Linked DNA regions of Yarrowia lipolytica. The protein of the gene in region 3 interacts with the protein of the main gene of each other region in a pairwise test. Links are inferred from orthologs where the notes say so. Each region holds a gene or a part of one and is shown on either strand. Other genes may lie near its edges. The genes, in order: YALI1_D05222g, YALI1_C09851g, YALI1_D13226g and YALI1_F28550g.

Evidence for each region.
Region 1: the proteins of YALI1_D13226g (region 3) and YALI1_D05222g interact in binary tests that used the Saccharomyces cerevisiae proteins (3 or more experiments, as listed by UniProt). The link is inferred for Yarrowia lipolytica from reciprocal best matches to the Saccharomyces cerevisiae genes POL30 and UNG1.
Region 2: the proteins of YALI1_D13226g (region 3) and YALI1_C09851g interact in a two-hybrid assay, tested with the Saccharomyces cerevisiae proteins (3 studies listed by BioGRID). The link is inferred for Yarrowia lipolytica from reciprocal best matches to the Saccharomyces cerevisiae genes POL30 and APN2.
Region 4: the proteins of YALI1_D13226g (region 3) and YALI1_F28550g interact in binary tests that used the Saccharomyces cerevisiae proteins (3 or more experiments, as listed by UniProt). The link is inferred for Yarrowia lipolytica from reciprocal best matches to the Saccharomyces cerevisiae genes POL30 and RLF2.

What each region holds. Positions count from the first base shown.
Region 1 is NC_090773.1:519,770-525,358, reverse strand, and holds YALI1_D05222g (uncharacterized protein), read right to left. Parts: upstream 3,078-5,589; coding exon 1,995-3,077; downstream 1-1,994. Other genes in the region: YALI1_D05244g (uncharacterized protein), read right to left, coding at 1-933. UniProt on the Saccharomyces cerevisiae protein: Excises uracil residues from the DNA which can arise as a result of misincorporation of dUMP residues by DNA polymerase or due to deamination of cytosine. Not involved in strand-directed mismatch repair.
Region 2 is NC_090772.1:982,312-988,492, reverse strand, and holds YALI1_C09851g (uncharacterized protein), read right to left. Parts: upstream 3,363-6,181; coding exon 1,614-3,362; downstream 1-1,613. Other genes in the region: YALI1_C09878g (uncharacterized protein), read left to right, coding at 671-1,546; YALI1_C09803t (uncharacterized protein), read right to left, coding at 4,276-6,181. UniProt on the Saccharomyces cerevisiae protein: DNA repair enzyme that cleaves apurinic/apyrimidinic (AP) sites and removes 3'-blocking groups present at single strand breaks of damaged DNA.
Region 3 is NC_090773.1:1,320,563-1,326,122, reverse strand, and holds YALI1_D13226g (uncharacterized protein), read left to right. Parts: upstream 1-3,373; coding exon 3,374-3,415; intron 3,416-3,488; coding exon 3,489-4,241; downstream 4,242-5,560. Other genes in the region: YALI1_D13251g (uncharacterized protein), read right to left, coding at 167-931; YALI1_D13238g (uncharacterized protein), read right to left, coding at 1,076-2,233. UniProt on the Saccharomyces cerevisiae protein: This protein is an auxiliary protein of DNA polymerase delta and is involved in the control of eukaryotic DNA replication by increasing the polymerase's processibility during elongation of the leading strand. Involved in DNA repair.
Region 4 is NC_090775.1:2,852,626-2,858,675, forward strand, and holds YALI1_F28550g (uncharacterized protein), read left to right. Parts: upstream 1-2,472; coding exon 2,473-4,080; downstream 4,081-6,050. Other genes in the region: YALI1_F28537g (uncharacterized protein), read right to left, coding at 1-1,142; YALI1_F28590g (uncharacterized protein), read right to left, coding at 5,277-6,050.

The DNA.
Region 1 (5,589 bases), about 800 kb from region 3:
GAAAAAAGCCTGAGTGTCTCTCTCCAGCTCTATCCACATTTCCTCTCCCTTCGGTCCTCTCCTGGCCTCATCCACATCGTGTCTGAGGGTTCCTGGAACTCCCCACGGCACCAGGTGGTCACCATCTTTGATTGTGGGACTCAGTAGAGCTGCCAATTCGGTGTATGCTCCGAATTTGGCTGGGTAGAGCACGTAATCCTTGAATCGATGGACTAGACCGCCCGAGTGACGAGTGAGGTTGGTGGAGAGGTTTCCAGGGTCCATAGAGACAGAGCTGACTCCCGAGTGTGGATGAAACTTAGACCACAGGTACGCCTCATACGCATTTCCTGTCTTACTCATGTTGTAGAGTACATGAGGAGGTTTCTTCTCGTCTTCATTGTTGGTGTTGAATCTGATAGATCCCTCGAGTCCTGGAATCAGAGTGGATGAAGAGGCAGCGACCCAGACAATTCGAACGGTTCCTGGAGGTGAGTCATGTGCCGCTCTCAGTACACTCGGTTCCAAATACTTCATGAGCAGATGGTGGCCCATGACGTTGGTACCCCAGTGGATCTCGTGGCCCTGTTTGGTCTTGGCATAGGGAGGAGCCATAGTTCCGGCGTTGAGCACGACTCCGTGGATTACAGGGTAGTGTCTGGCGATTTCCTGGCCGCCCTTTTTGACAGACTCCAGGTCAGCCAAGTCGAGTTCCACAAACGCAGCTTCTCCTTCGGGAATGTCCCGTGCTAGTTCAGACAGCAAGTCCCTGGCAAAGTCCTTGTTTCGTCCAACAATGACGACTCGAGCTCGTTTCTTGAGAAGCAGACGAGCGCATTCCATTCCCACTCCAGACAGTCCTCCCGTGACCACAAACGTCTTGTCTCTCTGATCAGCGTACTCGACTTCCTTGTACTGAGGTTTGGCAGCCCAAAAGTTTTTGATGTGTTCCATAATTGTAGTAGTTGTGGTTGTGGGTTTGTTGGTGGTAGGGATTGTTCGATGAGTGGATCACAACCACCAAGATACCCATCTTTTTATACTGCTTCTCTTCTCGTTATCTAGAATCAGGTGATGATCAGGTTCCATGTTAGGGGAGATTATGTTTAGGTTGATTCATCCTAGAACCGTATTATTGGAAAGTTATGACAACCAGAGTATAGAAAAAAAAGAAGTGTACAAGTACTGTACTGTACTAAGGCAGCTGATCTTCCCTGGAAGTATTCTATTAGTATATCACAAAAGCTTGAGTTCTCGTAGCGACTCCACTTCCTTGTCATTCTGTATTTCCACCTGATCATCTACATCTCCCCGCTTACCCCATATCATCAGATCAGTCGCACTGGGTTCTTTAGTTGAACCTTGAGCACAAGTTGAGATGGCAGTTGAAAGATTCTTGAGGTATTTGGAGGGTGGCTTGAGATACTGGGAGTTGTCCTTTGTTGCACTATTGTACGGTAGTACGGCATTCCCCTGTTGTAGTCTGAAGACATAAATGCCATAACTTCTCATTTTGGTATGGGTATAACTACCGGTACCACTGTAAGCTGTTAGTTGCCTAAGTGAAGCTCGTGTCTGGAAAACACCTCAAGCCTTCTTTTCAGACACACCGTTGAACCATCGCTTACAGCTACTTGAATCATGTGCCTCTGTCGTATCAATGCAGGGCTGACTTGCTTTTGGTTGTTGAGTTGAGTCAAACACGACAGAGCAAGACGTTTACACAGGGATAAAAACATATTCGAAACTTGTGCTTTGGAGTGGTTTATACAAGAAAACATTTGATATCCCTTTTCGTTGAACAGCATCGATCCGTGAGGTATTAAAACCCCGCATTTTGATAAATCCGTGTCTCAGAGGAGGAGTGTTTAAACCGTGTTTGGAGAGTGGAGTGATCAGCCTTGTGATCTTGGGAGTCATATTTCCAACCGGTGTAACGCAACCCACCCATGCCGATCCTTCAGCAAGTAGCTCAATACCATAATGTCGTGCGATACCTTCGTTATATACACTAATTACACCTTTTGCTTCTTGGGGGGAGGCAGGATATCGTCCAGTTCGTCATCATCCACATCAGGCACAGACAACAGGAGTTGGTCTAGCTTTTCTTGTGATGATGGTGGTGCTGTGGACTTCGCAGATGTCGGTTTGACTGACGACTGCTCAGTAGGTTCCTTAACTGTCTCAACGGACTCCTTGATAGACTCTTTAGCAAGCTCTTCCTTGACCGTGTCAGTGGTGGCCTCCTTAGTCCCCTTACTGCCAACTGTCTTACCCTCAAGACCCCACTTGATAATCCCCTCTGGACCGTACCGCTTCTCAAGCCACTCGTTGGCCTGCTTAAAGTGTCCACACGTGAGGAATCCTCGATGTGCCGACAATGGCGAGGGGTGGACGGCCTTGAGCACCAGGTGCTTGCTCTTGTCAATGTTCATCTTGTCTGCGATTTTGGCAGCAGGGCTTCCCCACGCCAAAATCACACAGCCAGAGTTGTGTTTGACAGCCGCTGACAGAGCTGTAAAGGTCACGGCCTCCCAACCCTTGTCTTTGTGCGCATTGGCCTTCTTTTCCTCAACCGTGAGCACCGTGTTGAGCATTAGAACACCCTGTTCGGCCCACGGGGTCAATAGACCCGACTTGGCAGGCACGTCAAAGTCTGGGTAGTCGTTCTTGAGACACTTGTACATGTTTTTGAGGGACGGCGGCGGCAGAGTGGGTGGGTTGACGGAGAAGGCCAGCCCATGAGCCTGATTCTTGCCGTGATAGGGATCTTGTCCTATGATGATCACCTTGACCTTGTCGAAAGGAGTAAGACTGGTCCATGAGTAAATGTCCTTTTTGGGCGGGAAAATGTTCACTCCGGCAGCTTCTCGGGAGGCCAGAAACTTTTTCAAATTGAGAAATTGCGGCTTGCTGATCTCCTTGTGGAGGTGTGGCAACCACGAGTCGTGAATATGGGTGATCTCCGTGTCCAGTAGCTCCTTATCGGCCGGTTTGAGGCCATTGAGCCAGGCCGACTGGTCGAATGAAGCGTTAGCAACTGTCTTGGTAGTCGTGGCCAGGATGGGCGCCTTTTGAAACGCGTCAGTGATTTTCATAGTGGTGTTCGAATGAACTGTGGTGAATGCAAGAAGACATGCGCATAATTAGTTTCGCGTTTGAGTTTGGTGGTGCATATATGACTACTTGTAGGATTCTGTACGATACAATGATTACAACTAGAGAATGAAGAATGCCGATTGATTTCATGAATCTGGAATATATATCATGTTCAGCTACTAAGGCATTACATGACTCTTGATCTATCGACATATTAGTAAACACTCCTCAACTGCTCAATACGATCATGTACTGGGCAAGTACTGCCGAATCCTGCATGAGAGCAGATGCACCAAATCCAAGGCACATCCAATATCCACACAGCGGAGTAATATCTGGATAATTTAGATGTTAATCATCAGTAATCTAACAAGATAATATGGTGTTAATGGTGCCATTTGAGGAGAAGCATTTTTGACTCCCTCTGACGCGATGTTTGTTCTCAACTTTCACTATCCCCGTGCTGGCCGTGCTGGGGATTACCTGATGACAAAGCTACACTGTCTCCACTTTAGAATCCACACACTGTAACGTTGATATCATCAGGCGGACTTTAATATTACAGTCTAAGAAACGCGTTTCTCGCTACACAGACACAATATATTGTTTGCTGTGGTTTTCTGGGGCAATTTCCAGTAATTTTTATGCTGATATTATTCCACTACGAACTACCCTATCTATACTGTACAGTAACTAACAATCTGTCATCTGCACCACCAAATAAACTCCACTGCACAATGATACCCCTACACTCAAGACTCAAAAGCCGAGACATACAACACCATTATTGCATCATTTTGCCGCTTTCAAACCCTGAGTGTGTGTATTGAGACACGTGTTCGGGACCAATCACAAGTACGGAATGAGATGATGCTAGACAGTGGCTATCACATGACCCAACGGGGTGAAAAACTCTAACGCGAAAAAGTTTGGGCGTCGTGTAGCGTGAATGTTTTGTTTTTTACGCTTTAGGTTACTGTAGCAACGGTACCCACAGGCGCCAAAAAATAGGGGTAACCGAAACGGCCATACAAAGAAGGCTGAGCTCTCGGGGCGTGCGTGGTACTGATGCTAGAAAGAGGTGGTTTAATGTGGCTATAAAACGGCATGATGAACATGAATATGACCCAAGTCTATGCTTGGTACTCGTGGTACTAATGAGAGAATTCTACCAGTAATATATGTAGTATTATTGAATGCAATCAGGTGTCTTTCAGGCACCATAGAAAATCGTACAGTACTTTTATTTCAAACTATGTCACAGTATGATATCTAACAACACTGTGCTGAACAAGAATCTGTATCGGGTAAAAGCACACTGGTAGATAGACCAGGAGTGTACAAGGAGAATACAGCCTAGATAGTGTATCGTACATACCTGGAAGAATATAGCCATTTTTCTTTGTGTCGGTGACATGCTGATCGTCACGTGAAAACGTATAATATCTGTCTTCCTTGTCACCAACCAGCTGAATTTCTACAGTCCCCTGTATGTCTCTGTATAGATATTATCGGGTTGGCCCCATGAGATGACCAAACTCTGTCGGGGTCTAAGTGAGACCATGAACAGGGATGGGATAAAAATATGTTAGCCTATGTGGTAGAAGTAACGACTTAACTCTTGTTCAATAAAACCTCTCTATCCAGTCATACTGATTACTTGCACTCTGTGTGCGTCTTCTCATTCCACATGTCATTCCCACCATTCTTCAGCCGTGTGAGTCTGTTCATTCTGCCACTGTGGTGTTGCCAAGCCAATAGTGACGTCTTAAGTTTGAGTACGAGGAGAGAGATTTAGTTATGAAAGAAAGATAATATATGGCTGTGGAGACGTGTGCAAATAAGACGTGAGAAATAGCCGGTACCTGAAGCTAGACTGAGACTGATATGGCACGTGTTCACGGAATAACACTTGTCTGTACTACTCGTGTACAGTACATCCACTCGCTGCCTCTGCGAGGCATCCGTTTCCGGGACTACGGTACCACGTAACACTGTTTGGCTGGCGCACTCTTGTCATGCGCGGCATCTTCATCTAAGTAACTGGGGCAAGTGCAAGAGTGCAGCAGGATTGCAAGATTGGACGTGTAAAAAAATATTATCTAACGGAAGCAGCACAAGTATGACTACGTACAGACGCGTGTAGCGTAAGAATCACCATCAGCCAAGCCATTCGACTAGCCAACTCCATCACCTGATCTGACAGGTCACATGTCCAATCTACCGTTACATTGCTGCTATAGCCATCCATACAGACCAACCGTCTATAGAATCTCTCCCCGACACTAACAAACAGCTCTACTCGGCCGAACACCCAGCTGTCAAAACAAGTGGGCTTTTAGCTCCAACACTAATTGCTTAAGACTGTAGCCCGGCCAACTCTATTTGCACGCTCCCACCATGTAATGTAGTCTCAGTTACACTCTCTCCCTTCTCTCTCCTCACCTATCTACAAGTCAGTACCCAGGTCACAAGCGACAAGGTACTATCCTCTTGACCCTTCCTTTCCAC
Region 2 (6,181 bases), on a different chromosome or scaffold from region 3:
TTAGTATTCCCCAATACTGCTCTTGTTTTCAATATACTCACTAATCTCGCTGGTACCAGTTGCTGGATGTAAGTGATGTAGTGGCGAATCAGCCTGTCGTATTTGATTCTGTGTTCATTTGGAACACCCTCCAAAAAGGTCCAAATCGTTGTGCTTATGTAGAGTCCACTCTCAGGGAATTTGGACATCCACTCAGAAATCTCTTCAAACCATTTAAGGGAACTGGAGATTTCGATTGACTGTTCGTGAAGGGCCTGGCACGTGGTTTCGCCTTTTCTTGCGGCCAAGATCAGGCGCTGGCAGCGCCAGATATCTGTAGGGGTTCGGCTAGGCATGTGATGTGGGGAGAAAAAAAATGTCGTATCTGTTTAATTAAGTACCAGGGTGTACTTGGTGGGGCCGTTTCTAGATATATATTTACAATGGTCACTTGGACTGGTCAGACGAGGTGGATGTGGCTAGTTTACCCCGATATTATTCATGCACGCCGTGCATATGGTTCTGGAACAAAGACACCTTAAGCGACATTGGCTCTTGCCTCATCACAATTGCCTAAACTAGAGATCTAGTATTTCCAGACCAACACATATCGACAAATATATATAAACAACATGCAACTCTCTTGGCTGGCTATTATCAGCTATACCAAGCCACACATAACATCCTCAAAATGGAAAACACGATACTACACATTCATTCCTTTCAACTACCCCAAACAGAACAGCCCTACCCCGAGGCTATGTTATTCGACAGGGACACTAGCGATTCACGTACGGTTCTAACTCAGAAGCCAAATGGACTGGAAATATCACTCAACTTTTTGCAATATGACGGTCACAAGGGGCTGTTCATCAGGCAAGACAGTCGAACGAATGAGCCTGAGTACATTGAACCCAAAGTTCTGAAACCTAGGAACAGCTACATCTTGTTCCGAAATGCAACATCCAGATGCTCTCAGAGCATTGATCCCAACTCAGCATTTGTTTCGAGGGTCTCCAGTTATATCTGGGGCTCGGGAATCCCCAATCCTATTGTTCGGCGATGGTTCAAGTATATGGGTTTCTTCGAAGCCCTATACCACGAAGTCGACTATCCTGAGTATATCCCGAACAAACTGCCCAAGTCCCCAAAGAAGCCGAAGGTCCAGAAGGGTGCAACTAAGTCTAAGAAAAAGGGAGCAAAGGGTAAGAACAAGGTTACTGCTCTCCAAGTACTGGTCGGCCCTACCGTTGGTGTCGGGGGAAGGATGACTGTTAGCCCAATGACTGCTTTCTTTAGCAACAACTCTCACGTTACGTGCTATGACCCCAACTTTGTTCTCGATACACCTACTCGAGAATTCCTCATGATGCCCCTGGATGATATCACTCTCCCATCGCAAGGACCAAGATCAGATTCACAGGAGCAGCACGTCCCTCGGCAGCCTCCCGATGGGCAGGACTATTTTGACATTCTGGATATTGATGATTTCGTTTCTCCTTATGATGACTTGACTACTCGCTCGTTCACCAACAGGCAGCTTTTTAAGCATGCCACACTGGGTTGAGCTTGGTAATTTTCTGTACTCACTGTACGTTTATCATTGGACACACTAACGGTATTATAATTTAATTTTATTTCCACTGAAAGAAGTTACATCTGGCACTGGTGTCGTCCTGGGAGCCCTTGGCGTCGGGGTCTGCCGATGCCTTGTAGGAGTCGCCGACGAGCTGCAGCGAGTGGTTCTGGCCACAAACCCAAAAGTGCTTGCCCTGGTTGGGTCCCTTTTTGCGGGTGGTTCTTAGCACCGCCGGGAGGTTGTGGGCACAGACGGGGGCAGGTTTTTTTGTCATGATCTTGGACCACTGCGACGCGACCTTTTCGGCCTCCTCCACGCGCTCCGCAATGTCTAGGTACTCGGTGGGCTCTGGCAAGTCCAGTCTGGTGGCCATTTGCGGTCTCGTATCTTCACCCTCTCGAGTCGCATGCGCACCTGCATCGCAACCTTGATAGGTCCTTTCAATATTTGGGGACGCGGCGGGTGATTGTGATTGTCCCAACGGCTTTGTGTGCACATCCGAGACGCATGTTGATACGACGGCAGCTTCTGGATCTGGCTTTTGGAAGAAGGAGGAGATGGCCGCCTGTTTTTTGGCAGTCGATTTGGAGGGCGCTTTGGGTTTGGTAATGCCCTTGGTCGGCGGCGTTTGTGCCCGGAACATGGACATGACCGAGGTGGTCTGCACAAACTGCTTGTTAGTTCTGTGGAACAGTTTTGGCCGAAACGAGTTTGGGGCTGAGGACGACGCTTGTTTGGTCTGGTTAGCTGCACCTTGAGTGGCACGGTTGTCTTTTTCTTGGCACGCGTCTGGTTCGCGCACCTCTGCATAAACGGGACAATGGTCTGAGCCCTCCAGGTGGGGCAGAATATCGGCATCCTCCACCTTCAGACCTTTTGAGGCCAGCACGTAGTCGATACGAGACCCAAAGTTTCCGGGCCGGTAGTTCATCATCACGTTCCAGCAAGTATACATGTCGGGTCGATTGGGATGCTTGTCGCGGCACGAGTCCTGTAACAGGTCGGGGACCAGTCTGTGGAAGACTCGTCGGCCAACTTTGGCTTCCCTCCAGCTCTTACACTGTCCCGGGTTGAGCTTTTCAAACACCTCCACAAACCTGCCCTCCTCCTTATCTCCCAGTGTCGGTAGAGTGATGTGTTTGGCCTTGTGCAGCGCTTGCATTCCCTCAGCTGAGTCGTACAGCTCGCGTGCCACATTGAGATCTCCCATGACCACCACCTCTCGTCCAGCCTCAACCAGAAGGTTGACCCGTTCCTCCAGCAACCCAAAATAGTCGTCTCTGTAGGCATCTCGCTCCTCGCCCTCGGTGGCGGTGCTAGGACAGTAGAGCCCAAACACGACACAGAACCCCAGGTCCAACACAAGAGACCGGCCCTCCGAATCGACCTGAAAGAGCCGCTGTGGATTGCCCTCGGGATAGGCGCCGATACAACTCTTGCTGCTGCCGTCTCTCTCCCTTTGCCGCTCGTACAGCTGCTGGTAGGTGAGTCCCTTTTTGGAGTCCGGAGATACCAGCTGACCGGTAAGACCCTCCTCGGCCTTGAGAACTTTGATGCCATGTTTCACATAGACCGCCACGCCGCTGTAGCCCTTTTTTGTGTTGGAAAAAGACCAGTACGAATCGTATCCGGGCACAAGGGCGTGTTCTCGCTTCAGCAAATGGGGCTGGAGCTTGGTTTCTTGTAAACAGATCACGTCCGCCTTCAGCACCGCAAACATGTGCTCAAACGACCTTTGCTCGTTCCATGGATGGTAGCTCAGCACGTTGTTGATGCCACAGATGTTGAACGTGACGAATCTCATGTGGCGACCGGTCCTGCATGTGGACTCTAGCTACTGTAGGGTGCTATCGCTAGATCACGGAGGTGAGTTTGGAGTTTCTGCAGAGTTTATTTGAGCGGCTAAAATACAGTATGTTCTATTGTATGCACAGCACATACAAGTAGATACTATTACTTGTAGATATCACCAATATACGCACCACAGGTGATATAACTGCTCCCGTGCACGTGTAACAATGGGGACATTTGGGGCATGAAAATGCTCCATCAGCCGTATCACTCTTTTGTAGGGACGATTGACTGGTCAAATTGGGCTGATTTCATGATCCCCGCAAGTATCTTTCGTTTCAGGAACATTTTATCGAGAGTGAAAATGTGTATACGTTTGTTTTATGATGAATAAACTGGTCAGTCTGGTTTCAGGGTCTGTTGTATTTTTGGGTCTTTTTCATGGGTCATATATATAGAGTGATACCATTGTTACAGTAATTAGGGCTGTTCTAAGTATCACTGTTTTTTTTTTTTTTTTCTGCATATACATTCATTTAATTATAACTTTGCCGTGAAAGAATAACCTTTGAAATGAATGTACGCTTACACGAATATTACTAATTAAACACGTTTAGTGTCATGGTCCAACTTGGCACGTACCTATTTCCAGTAAAAAAATCATAAAAAAACCTGGTTCAGTCCGTGTTGTATGTTGGTCCACATAGCTTCGCGTGTTTGTTCGTTCATCGGGAAAACGCCACTCCAGTCTCCAGTTCTCTAATCTCAATCCTTCCATTGCCCTCTTCATTTGCATTGCCTTTGAAAACTTCTCCTTGTGGTTCTTCTTCGTCATTGGTTTGGTTCTGCGTCCCCTGTGGTGACTACGCGCCCTGCTACGCTGTTCTCTCGGTGGCCTCGGCCGCCTTTTACGCTTGCTACTGTGTCTACTCTCGCTCATCGTGAAGTGCTGGCGGTTGTCCATCGTAGAAACACATCTGGGCTTCCTTCAGGAATTGAAGCAAACCCTGTTGGACATGTCCCAGGGTGGCGTCGTCCCCTGAGTACCGGAGGGATCTCTCCATCTTCCAGATCCCATAAGCCAATTCCCGCAGATATTTGCGTGTCTTGACTTGTTGATGTTTCCGGGGGGCGTCACTGTTCACATGCCCTGGGAAAGAGGGGAGTACTCCACATTTCGACTCGGTAAAGATCCAGTCCTTTAGAGAGTCCACTGACGGAATCTTCATCCTGGTCAACATGGAAAGAAGAACTTCGCACTTGCAGAAGATATGCTCGTGCAGATCCTGAATGATGGCCTTATCACAGAGCCCGCATCCTGGATTCTTCTTGGTGAAAACGTGGTCGTCAGGGTATCTCCATTTCACGAGCGGAAGTCGAGATATCCGCATGAGGTGAAGAACTTGTGCTTTGTTGGCGTCGGCGATGTAGTGTTTTCGAAGGTCATGCATTACCTCCTGCCAGACCATGTCGTCAGAGATGCCCCCGTAGTCGCTTCGTTGAGTCCACTTCTTCGGTCGTGCAAGTGTGTGTGGGAAGTTTGGCAAGTCGGGAGACGAGGTCTTGTGAAACATGAAGTTCTCTAGAGTAAGTGGTCCCATGCTCCACCGGAGGTGGTCGATTTCCGCTGTGGACACCATTCTGACCGGATGGTATCGTCTCGCGGCTGCGATGTCGACGTGTGCTTCCCGGAAAGATTCTGCTGCTCTCACGTTCACCTGGTTTCGTTCCCAGATTCTGTGATTAACTGTGTCTGTTGTAGAGGGCTCGTGATCTTCTCGAGGGTTGGCATGTTCCGCGGTGAGGGGCTTGTTGAGCTCGAAAGAAGCTCTGATTGCGTCTCGCATGGTGGGGGAGGCTGCGTAGCCCCAAGCTTGGCCTGTCGGAAAGCGGCAGTCGACGCGCTGGTGTGGCTTTTCCTGTGTGAGACTGTGAGTTCTGCTGTAGAACTGGAAGGTGCAGTCCCAAAGGGCCGGCGATGAGCCATGGAAGAACCTGTAAGCCCGAGCGGCCTTCAGGCACACCATGAAACGTCCCATGTCCCGCAGGTTCAGTCCTCCTCTGCCTACCGGAGTTTGGATGAAACCATTGCTGAAGGTTTTGCGTGTTTTGTCGGGTGATAATTTGTTGATCTTGTCGCACGCTAGTTCGTTCAGCTCTCGGATGAAGGTGTTGTCGATCTGGCTGACGTAGGGTCCAAGGAAATTCAGTTTCGAGAAGAAGTAGATGTTGATCATCCACGCCTTGCTGTAATAGGGGAGACCCCATAGTGAAAGGCGTCGCAGCGACTCCTTGAGGTCCTCCTTGATCTGAGCGTAGTGCGTGTCCAACCTTTCGCGATTTCCGAAGTGTACTCCGAGGTACCGGAAAATGTTGTCAGATGTCCGGAGCGTCGGGGCCTGTCGTGTGTTGTTGTCGGTTGGCCAGGTGGCGTCAATTGTTCGCTGCCATTCTGCGTCAATAAAGGTTAGTGGAACAAAACAATCGGGGGGGCCGATCTTCTGAAGCACCGTCTTTGACGGGTTTAGTGTGAGGCCTGAGACCCGTTGGAAGAGGCAGAGCACTCTACCAACCGTGGCCACGTCCTGGATGTTGTTGAGGAACACCGCTATGTCGTCCGCGAAAGCCGACACCTTCATGTGTCCAGCTGCCACTGCCTCCGGGTGAGTAGGGGGTTGTGGCGGCCTGTGCCCAGTGGTGTGGTGGTGGGATAGTGGCAGGCCTGGGGCCAGTCCAAACATCTCTCGGTCCAGACGACGCACAAGTGCGTCTACTGCGATGATGAAGAGGGTTGGAGAGAGAGGGCATCCTTGTCTCACTCCGATCTTGATG
Region 3 (5,560 bases):
CCCCTTACTTACCTTCATGACCCACCCGCTCCTCCTTTCTACTGTACCACTGGTAGCCAAGTGTAGCTCACAAGGAACACATTCATAGCTCTCGTACAGATGCCTGTTTCTCGCGCGTGAATAAATAAATTGTCTATGAGAAGCATCCATGTTCATGATAAGTCCGTTACGCGTCCGGCAAGGACGGAGTCAGATCCAGAGTGTCCACCTCGTCCAGATCATAGGTTAGTGATTCGTGCATCTTTTGCACCTTGACATTGCGGTCGTCTTCGATGGAGTCGTCCGTTTCGTACTCGTCGTCGTCGTCCTTGAGTAGAGGGCCCATTCTGGTCTCTAGAAACACAACGTTCTTGTAGACGACAGACTTGCGGCAAATACTGCACTCCCCCACCGAATCAGAGGCCCGAACCCCCGAAGAAAGAGCCTTGAACACGCAGTCCCCGCAGTAGAGATGGCCGCATTCCGTGACACAAAGCCGATCTGGCGGCTCGAGGCAAATCGGACACTTGACCTCGCGCAACTTGCTGTGTTGATCTGGCGGAGGAGCCGACAGATCGAGCCCGTCGTCGTCGTTGCTGTCGTAATCGGAGGCGTCGGAGGCATCCAGATCAATCACATTGTGCGTTTCTTCGTCTCCGGAGTCAATGTACAGTGGCTGGGACGAGTTGTCTGTGTCTGTGTCGTTAATGGTGAGCATGCGCGATTCGGGCGTCGATGCAGAGCTGTGGACAGAAAGCGGTGTCCCGGACATTGCCTGTCGCTGGACTTGCTGCCTGTGTACTGTTTGCAGTTTGGTATGGTGTTTTGTTGGACTAAAAAACGGACTCTGTTTAGGTTTAAGCACTGGGCTTACTTGGTTCGGAGTGTGAGATATTGTTAGGAGGCTAAGGCGGCGGGTAAAGCGGGATGAAAAAAGAATAGTACTACTCATTTGTGAACGATCCAAGCCATCGCCTTAGATCACGTGACTAGAAGTCACTCCGCACTCCTCGTTATGCAAGATAACGTTATCTTACAGCAACACAATGTCAATCAATATACATAATCGTTCATTCATCATATATAACTAACAAATCTAGTTCATCTTGGAGATAATATCGTTAGTGACCTGCTCGGTAGAGGCAGATCCTCCGAGATCGGGAGAAAGCAGCTTGCCCTCAACCAGGTTGGCGTCGACAGCCTTGTAGATCTTGGCGGCCTCCTCAGGGTAGCCAAGGAACTCCAGCATCAGAGCGGTGGATCGGATGGTGGCAATGGGGTTGGAAATACCCTTACCCTCGATGTCGGGGGCAGAGCCGTGGCAGGGCTCACCAATGACAAAGTCGTCGCCAACGTTGGCAGAGGGGACAACACCCAGAGAGCCGACGAGGGCAGCGGCTCCGTCGGACAGAATGTCTCCGTACAGATTGGGGGCAACCACAACGTCGAAGAACTGAGGCTCTCGGAACAGTCGGTAAACCATGGAATCAACAATCTGCTCGTTGATGATGATGGCATCAGCAGAGACGCCCTCGGCCTTGAGCTCCTTCTCAGCGGAGGCTCGGGCAACCTCTCGGAAGAGACCGTCGGAGGTGGACAGCACGTTAGACTTGTGGGTGATGGTCAGAATGGGCTTCTCGTGGAAGAGCTTACCGCCCTCGAGCTTTCGAACCTGCTCTCGCTGCAGAGCGATCTTGGTGGCGATGGTGGCGATCTTGTCGGTGGCTCGCTCGGTGATTCGCTTGATGGCCTCGGCCACCTTCTGGCCGTCCTGCTCGTAGGCACGCTCCTCCTTGATGTACAGATCCTCAGTGTTCTCTCGCACAATGACGAGATCGACCTTCTTGTCGGTGGCCTGGACGGCCTTGACGGGTCGCACGTTGGCGTACAGACCCATCTTCTTTCGCAGAGCGACAATGGGAGAGGAGTAGCCTGCGACCTTGGTGGTGGGAGAGGAGACAGCACCAAAGAGGGCACCGTCACACTTTCGCAGCTCGTCGACGGTCTCGTCGGGCAGAGCGGTTCCGGTCTGCTTGAAGAGCTCGAAGCCGGCCTTGAGGTCAACAAACTCGAACTTGAGCTTGTTGGACGGCAGGTTCTCGAGAATCTTTCGGCCAGCGGGGATGACCTCTCGGCCAATACCGTCTCCGGGGATAAGACCTGGGTTAGTATAGGTAAAGAATGGCTGAAGCTCTGGAACGAAAAAAAAAAACCACTTTTCCGTTGCCGAATCGAGCAAAATCTGGGGTGGCATCGGCCATGCCAGGGTATGAGTCACACTAATGCTTGTATGATCCTTCCGTGTCGCTTGATTGTGCTACTCACCAATCTTGAGAGTCTTGGCTCCGGTGGAGTACATTCGGGTCTGGAGTCGCATGGCTCGGTTGGCAAACATTTTGTCGAAGAGAATGGAATGACAGTGTCGAAGAAAGAAGGTGTGCGACGGTGGGTTTTGGTCAATCAGTCAGTCATCATAGAGTTTGCTAATGCACAGGCTGCAGCTCAGATCCGAGTCGGCCTCTAGTGCAGTTCCTGACTCTGCAGAGAGCAGCTGCAAGTTCAATTCTCGCTAAAACCAACCAATTGTCCATATTAATGGCCCCTATATATCAATTCCATCTCTATAACGACCGGATCACCTCCAAAATACCATGTTGCACTGGTCAACGTCAATTCACATGATTTGGAAGAAAGACAGCTATATAGTAGCTCCCAGCGAGCCTATTTCGGAGCATTGAGCGTTGAAAGTGTCACTTGTACCTTAAAGTGTGCGCGGTTCGAGTCTCGGTGTGAAGGAATAAAGCACTGGGAAAACTTCAAGACAAGATTGTAATCATCAACAACTTATCACACAAAAGCACGGTAAAAGTACAGCACATAAGTAGTTGTATTTGCACGGTAATCTGGCCTGATCCATCGTATTAAGCCGAGTAACATTCACGGTATAAGGTCAGTACAATCTCCGTTGTTTCATTGATGCTGTACACCTCCAATCCTCCAATCCTCCAATCGACGTGTTTGACACCGCCAAACTTTAAATAGCTCGTTGGTATTGCCAGGGAGAACGGTTCCGAAGGCAGTCGTATAAATGTGTGAGAAAAGGGTCTACACACCTCCGTTCAAAGTGTCACGTGACCCTGGAGATGTACTGTACCACCATCCGTTTGTCATTGGAGTATTGAAAGTCCAAAAGCCGTCTCTAAATCTGCCCACCAGCCACCCTCGCCCCCTTTATACTTGTCTGCACACCTGTGTTACCCTACCGACGCGTTGTGGTTAATCCCAATTGGGAATAGTGATTTGTCGCGTTTTAGATTAAAACACGTCCCTCTTTCTTTTCCTCCATCTACACCACCACCACAGTAACTCTTCCAACACACACACACATCTAACAATGCTTGAGGCCAAATTGAACGAAGCTGCTCTTCTCAAGAAGGTGAGTAAGACAACCGGCAACGGAACATCAATTTGTGTTTGCATACCCCTATTCCTTGTCTTTACTAACCCAGATCATCGATGCCATTAAGGACTCCGTGACTGATGTCAACTTTGAGTGTTCCGAGACTGGAATCGACGTACAGGCCGTCGACTCTTCACACATTGCCCTGGTGTCTCTGAAGCTCGGATCCGACGGCTTCTCTGACTACCGATGTGACCGAAACATCACACTCGGAATCAAGGTGGCTTCGCTTGTCAAGATTCTGCGATGCGCTAACGACCGTGACGCCCTGACCCTTATGGCTGACGACAACGGCGACCAGCTGCGGCTCACCTTTGAGGACTCCAAGTCCGAGCGAGTGTCTGAGTTTGTGCTCAAGCTCATGACGATCGACCAGGAGCATCTCGGAATCCCTGACACCAAGTACGAGTCGGACATCACCATGCCCGTGGACGCGTTCCAGAAAATCATGCGGGATATGTTCATGCTGTCCGAGTCTGTCAAGATTTCGTGCGACAAGGAGGGCGTCAAGTTCAGCTGCAAGGGCGACGTGGGAGACGGATCCGTGCTCATCAAGCCCTCTTCCTCGGTCGACGACGAGGGATCTACCACCATCGCTGTCGAGACCCCTGTGTCCATGGAGCTCAACCTCAAGTACCTCAACAACTTCTGCAAGGCGTCGGGCCTGGCCCAGAACGTGCATCTGGGCATGTCTTCCGAGGTGCCCATCATGGTCGAGTACCTGCTCCCCAACGGCTACCTGAGATTCTACCTCGCTCCCAAGATTGGCGACGAGGACGAGGAGGACGAGGATGATGACTAATGGACACGACAGTAGAATAGGCTAGTATAGGCGCATTAATTATAGGAAAGATTATAGAACACGAGTGACTACAGTAGTACATTTGTAGTGAGCACATCGGGAGCACAGTTGGAGAGAATGGCCTTCCTTTTACTACAGGAATTGTAGTAGCACTGGAAGTACCTGATCCGGTTTGAACAGTATGGTAATGTGCACACTGTACAGTAAGTAGATGAACGGCAGTATACTGGTAACAAGACCAAACAGTTGATAAGTCTACAAGTACAAGTACAGTAGTACAGTATGTACTGGTGCAGTAGACAAACCGACCTCTGATGTAACGCCATTCTAGTTTCAGATCAATATGTTTATGTGGAAAGTGGCTGTAAATGGGTCGTGATGGAAAGCGCAGTGTACATCATACTACATGAAGATACCGTTGTAGCTGCTGTGGAACAGTGTCAACCACGTTCCAGAGTGACAGAATGTTTTACTGGTAGATAAGCAGGTGACCAAGGACTGGTACATCTCCCTCTGCTTACTAACCATATCCTTCTCAAGTCCATCCGCTACAGTCTCACTTGTGAGACATCTTCGGGAGTCTTTAACTTAACAAGCATGTACAAGTGCTATTCTGGTACGGACAGCATGGTGCCAACCTGATAGGACGACACGCCGAGCTGCTGAGATTCTGCACCTCTTCTGTGGTTGTCTTTGTGGGTTGTACAAGCACTCGTTAGTTCTCTACTAATGACCCTGGGCACAGGTGCACGATACATGTGGGTTTTGATGCTACTTGTATACATATTACAAGTGTTGGTAGGTGGTCGTGCAGTATCTTACCATGGCGATATTTGTAGGGTTCAATGTCTGATGGCTCGTCTGCCACCACCAATTTCTTCGTTCTATTCTAGAGTTGTTTTCAGGGCCTCCGGCTAGCTCCAATCTCGTGCAGTATGTTACTCGTACTGGTGAGTTAATAGGGCGGTATTGTAAAAGAAGAGCCCAACTAGACGCGTCCACAATAGGCCTTGAGCATGAGTCTATAGGGTTGTTAGCGTATGGCCATGTCTAGTTCCATGGCGTTAGCGTGCTTTGTGTGGAGGAGGCCACGTAGCGTGTACTTGGGAGGGTTGCCGACATCTTCGTCTTCTTTTTCGTGTCATTTTCTCCTCCACACACCCATCCTTTGGCTGCTACGTACACACGGTCTATGTTCCTCCACCTCAATGTTATTATGTGGAAACCTACGGGTCCATAAGTCTTCCCCACTGATCACCACTCGTATCTTTACCAGGCGAACTTTCTCAGGCCTGAACCAACTAACCGGGTCTCACAGG
Region 4 (6,050 bases), on a different chromosome or scaffold from region 3:
GTCACTCCCTGAAGACCAACAGAGAAAATGTTAGCTCCAGGAGCACTGTCAAGGCCAGTGTTGGGAGAGTAGGAAGATCCAAGACCGGAATCAATCAGCTTCTGATGAAGGGGGGAAGAATGACCGTCAATGAGTAGAGAAGAGATGATCTTGACGCAGAAAGACTCGTAAATGTCCTTGGGAGAACCCATCAACCACGACATGGACATCTTGTGCTGCTTAGACGTATCCAGAAGAGTGTCAATAGGACCCTCTTCAACGATACGGGTGTTCTCAGCGGCAGAAGAAAATTCGAGAGGCAATCTCTCGGTGTTTCCGGGAGTTTTGGAGATCTCACAATTCTCAAATTTGGCGTTCAGAGCCTCCAAATGGTCAGCAACAGAGATATCTCCATAAGAAAACGTCTTGGCGTTGCTGGGGTTGTAGTGATCAGCATGAAACTTCTTGAGACCCTCGTAGGTGAGTTCGGGAATAACAAGAGGGTCTCCTCCAGAGTTGTTCAAACTGGGGTAGATCTTCTCCAGGTACCGAATGTAGAAAGCGTAAGCAGCATTGGACATTTGACCTTTCATCTCGTTGAAAACGACACCCTTGAGGATGATGGGACTGGTCTTGTCCTTGGAGTCCTCGTTTTCCAGTCTCCAGCCTTCCTGAGAAAAGTCCAGCTCTCGAAGCAGAGGCTTCAGGGTAGCATCGAGGTACACATCTCGCAGATTCTTCATGTCGGTAGCGTTGGTGGTAGCAAAGGGGTAAAAGGTGTAGTCCTGGGCGGTCATCGCGTTCATGAAGTTGGCAAGAGATCGGTTAAGCATCTTGAAGAAGGGATCTCGGACTTGGTACTTTTCCGATCCACACAACGTTGTATGCTCCAGAATATGGGGAACTCCGGTTCGATCGGGAGGATTAGTCTTGAAGCCGATGGAAAAGACGTTGTTGGAGTCATCTCGAGCAATGTGCAGATGCTGGGCTCCAGTGGAGTGCTCTAGCAGGGTAGCCTGCAGATCAAACTCGGGGATCTCTTTGGTTCTGAGAACATTGAAGCCATGGATATTGTCGCCGACAGAGAGAGTGGGTGCGGAGGTGGTGGCGAAACGTCGAACCACGGCCTGGACCGGTTTTTTGAGCGACTTTAGACGTAACATGGTGGTGGAAGAGAGTGTCGATGCAAGTCTCGATTTTAGATAAAAGAGTGAACAACTCTAAATGATTTATAATAGTTGGGGGAAGGTAGCGACGAGGCGGTGGTCACATTACAGGAAAACAAATATGGATTGATACCATGTACCATGAGTGATCACGTGCCATGAGTGATCACGTGGACAGTTTTCGTAGTCAGGATTTCCGTCTGTGGGTTTCTGGAGAGTTGTTAGAGCGTCAATAACCGACATCTTCCTCGATGCGGGGAATAGGGTAAGGGAGAAACCCGTGAGGTGGCAAGACGAAGATTAGTAATATTTATAATGAGTGGAGGACTGATCACGTGATAGGATTCTACGATCGTGTGGCTAACTTATGCTTGATGGGCTCGTGGCGGTCGAGAATGATTTCTTATCTGTCTTTTGAACACTCCTGGTGATGCATAATTAGGTTGCAAAGGTCTGGAATACTGATGGAAGAAATCGATTTCAGTGTCGCTGCTAAGACGAGGAGGGGACTTACAGAGAGAAGAATAACAGCATTAAAAATAAGGGTGCCTGTAGCTTTCGATCTATATAAATAATGTACTACAATCTCATTACGTTGCTTACCGTAAACTGCGATTATTTCCGTAGGTGCTGTGTTGAGGTTTTCAGTGGCGACTCGCCAGATTGTCAAAACAGGCTATTCGAGTCACAACAGAAGACGTAGGCTAGCTACTGTATTTAAAACAAGCATCCTAATGAAAGTACTTGTACTCACCTTGTAGGTTGCGGCTCCCAGCAACCAACAACCACAATTATTTACATGATCTGACAATTCAGTCAAATGTTGGAATCAGCATACTCCCGTGAAAATGTGGACCTTGCATTTCCAGGGCCTGGACTGTTTCGGTGGGTGTTTGGATCGCAGTCTCGCCACCAGACGTTTCTTTCCACCACCTTCGTAGACCTGATCGACTGTTTATAGCGAGAAACAGTGGGTTCTGTTTGTGGTGTGTAATTGTGGAGGTCAGGTTGGCGTCGGAGTTGGGACTATTAATAGGTTCAGGTTATGACAAGTATTTTTAGCGACTCGCACAGCATGTACACTATGAATAAGAGAGATGCACAGAGTCAGTGAGAGATTAGAGATAGTTGAACAGACACGTGACGAAAAATATCTCGTGACCTATTAGTTGCAATTGAATTATATTTGGTAACGTGACACGCTCACGACTTCCGCGTTCAACTAATTACCACTTCTGGACGCGTCTCCCAAATCATTTCAATTAAGCTCTTGGGTACGCGTCGTGAAGGCTGGGCCTTGTAACCTCCTTCTTTCCTCCACAACACCATGGACAGCTCTCCAATTCGACTCATGAGCGCAAGTGAGCAGAATGCAGGATGTGACAAGCCTGTAATGGCCGACAACAAGCCTCTGTGCACGATTACCACGCCCGAACCGTCACCCAAGCGTCGAAAGATCTCTGCCGAGGAGAAAGAAAAGATGCGACTTGAAAAGGAACAGATCAAGAAGCAGAAAGAGGAAGAGCGAGAGCAGCTTCGAAGACAGAAGGAAGAAGAGAAAGAGCTACTGAGAAAGCAGAAAGAGGAGGAGAAGGAACAACTGAGGAAACAGAAGGAGGAGGAGAAGAGGGGGCTAAAGAGGAGGAAGAAAGGGAAAGAGGAGGAGAAACGACGACGAGAAGAGGAACGAAAGAAGGCTGCCGAAGAGAAGGAGCTTGAGCGAGCCAAGATTGCAGAGGAGAAGGCTAAGTTGGCTGAAGAGAAGGAGGCCAAGAGACTTGAAAAAGAAGCTGAACTCAAGAAGAAGGAGCAAGAACAGACTCGAATCATGTCTTTCTTTAACAAGAAGACCAAAAAGAAGACCAAGAAGGAAGCTGTTAACAGTGACAAGTGTTTGGACTTTGATAAAGACTTCCTACCCTTCCACATCAAAGATACCGTGTGTATGGCAGACAAGACGGAGTGTGAAGTGATGGATCAGGATCCTGTTGACTGGCTCAACAGTCTCAACCTTTCTGATGACAGCAACACCGCCGAAGCAGAAGAACCACCTGTTCCCGTCAAAACCATCATTACTCACATCCAGACCGCTGCCACTCTGGGTCTCAATCCTGATAATTACAACGGTACTCCTTTAGACACGCTGGTCAATGCTCTTCCTAGACGATACTTGCAGTTCTATGGTGACGAGCGACCCGCATACCTGGGCACGTACTCCAAGAGCTGCTCGCGTGATCTGTTGCAGAACCCTCTCTTCCAGGTGCCTGGTTTGGACTACGAGTACGACAGTGAGGCCGACTGGGAAGATGAAGGAGAAGATATTGAAGATGATGAAATTAGTGGAGACGAGGAGATGGAGGACGACGAAATGGCCGACTTTGTGTGTTCTGATGATGCCAAGAGTCCCAGCACCATGACTTCAAAGGTCACGACAGCCCAGGAACCTGTTGTTGTCTGGGGCTGCTCAGATATGGTTGGTATGACTTTTGGAGGACTGATTGTCCAGGGGGCAATTGACCCATTCAAAGACTATTGGACTGTTGCAAAAGTTGAGCAGAAGACCGATACTAAGAGTGACGTGACAATGACTAGTGCGACATCAGCTTCTGGTACAGCTATTAAATCTACTACAACCAAAACCGAACTCAGCCCGTTTGCAGTCCTCTCCAAAACTCTGTCACCTTCCCCAGCGGTTGCTTCAGCCACGAAACAGTTTCTGGCTGCTGCCAAGCCTCAGAAGCTCATTGCTGGAGACGATCTGACTGCTCTTTTGAAGCGAGTAGATGGATCCGACGATAACAAGACGCTGTTGACCGAGCTGCTTTGTAAGCAGTATCCCCAGTACACACGCAAGATGGTCACGGCCACCATTCAGCACTATGCTGAGCGACAGGGTCCTAAGAGCGACAAGCGGTGGGTTCTGAAGGATATCTAGGCCGGGGAATGATGAGTTCTGCTGGAGTACACATGACGCAGTAGATAATGAATTAACGATGAACTGATGATTCAATAATGAAACAACTGTGTGAGAACGATGGCCGAGGCCTATACTCGTAAAGTAGTACTTTTGTGCTTGATTCCACCGCCGCACTTAAAGGGACGTCAGAAGTAAAATTGGTACAGTACACTGAAATACGGTCACGTGACTCGATCCCACCTCTCGCCTCTCGGGTAACGTATAGCCGATCCATCCTCATCCTCATCCTTTTCTATGTGTAGCTGCATTGCACCTCCATTTCAATGTCGTACTTATACCAGGTATTTGGGGTTGACATCCTTGTACAGTATTTAGGCTCAGTGCAAAATGGACCGTGAACCCAGTTTCGATCGCTCTTTCGACAGGCTCTGGTCTACAAACTCTTACTGTACATCGGGCAAATCAAAGAAGACAGAGATACCCGATTGGCAGATCGACACAAGTATGGTTTGGCCGGAATAAGCAAAGGCGCAAAGTGTAATCAAGATTTGAAAATTGCTCATCGTGGAAAAAGAAACGGGGTGGGGGACATTTAATTGGTAGTGAGTGGTAGAGGTGGTGATATATACTGTGCACGGTTGTTCTATTAAATGGAGGTGAGCGACTTAGACCTTTGGAGTAATAAGACTGTAGTTGTGAAATGAAGGCTTCAGTTTACAGCAGTACATACTGTAGCTGATTTAAGCCTCCTTAGCGTATGAGCGAAATGTTTCGATGTAGCGCTTCAGATGGGATATTCCCTTAGGAACGTACTGTGATAAACGGGAACTTTAACAAAAAGAGGAGTGGATTATTGGGACGATTTCCTCGCGAGTCGGCAGTCACGAAGTTCAGTGGGTATTTAGATATGTGATCATTATCTGATGGGTTAGTCTGAGAATACCAAAGAAGTCGTCGAGTGAAGACTCATACTTTTCACCTCCGTAACATGTGCTGATGTTCTCGATTGATGAAGTCCTTCGTTTGTCAAAACTATTTGTAGTTGTCTGAAGTCGCGGACTGCTGAGTCTACTTGTGCCTTCCTGCGGATTACGATCTCCACAACAATAGCTACTCTTACTCAATACAACAATTAATCAATTACTTTTGGACGTCTTTCGACAATAAATAATGTCGTTTACACGACACATCATCAACGATACTCCTCCCCTTGATTAAGCCCACTTCGCCAGCAGGGCCATGAGTCCGGCTCCGGCACACATCCAGGCAAAGGCCCAGAAGATTCGCCAGTTGTTGGCGTGCTTGAACTCGGACGAGAACAAAAACTCGTGGGCCATGAGCTCAACGAGACCGGTATACAGCAGGATACCGGAAGACACGGAGTCAAAGATACCGTTGGTGATAGAGGCTGTCTTTCCTCCAGGAGGGTAGGTCTTTCGCACACCGAGACCAATGGCAATCGCAATGGGGGTGGTGAGGCCAAATGCCAGACCAAGGATCCAAGGAGTCCACACCTTTTTCTTGGGCCAAGGGGCAGTGGCCAGTCGAGTTCCCAGACCGAAACCCTCAAACATCTGGTGGAAGACAAGCACAATGTACAGGTCCTTGAACTCGTCTCCGGAGACAGCAAGAGTCAGACCAATGAAGACAGAGTGGAAAATGATACCAAATTCGAGCACAAAAATGGAAACGAGCTGGGCAGAGTAGGTCTCCAAACCCATGTCGTTCTCCAAATCAACGTCGTTGGGGTCAGTATGCTCTTCGCAGTGTCCGTAGTGGTCTTTGGGTGTCAGGGGGTCATGGTTAGCAATGGGATTGGGCATAGAGACAGGAACGGAAGAGTGCTCTCTGGGCTTTTCGTTCTCCTTGACGATATCATCGGAAGAGTGGTCGTCGTGAGAGTGACCCTCGTGGGTATGCTCGTGAACACCTGAAATCTCCACGTCCTTAGAGGAAGCCAGTCCTACGGGTCCGTGGCTGTGGCCCTG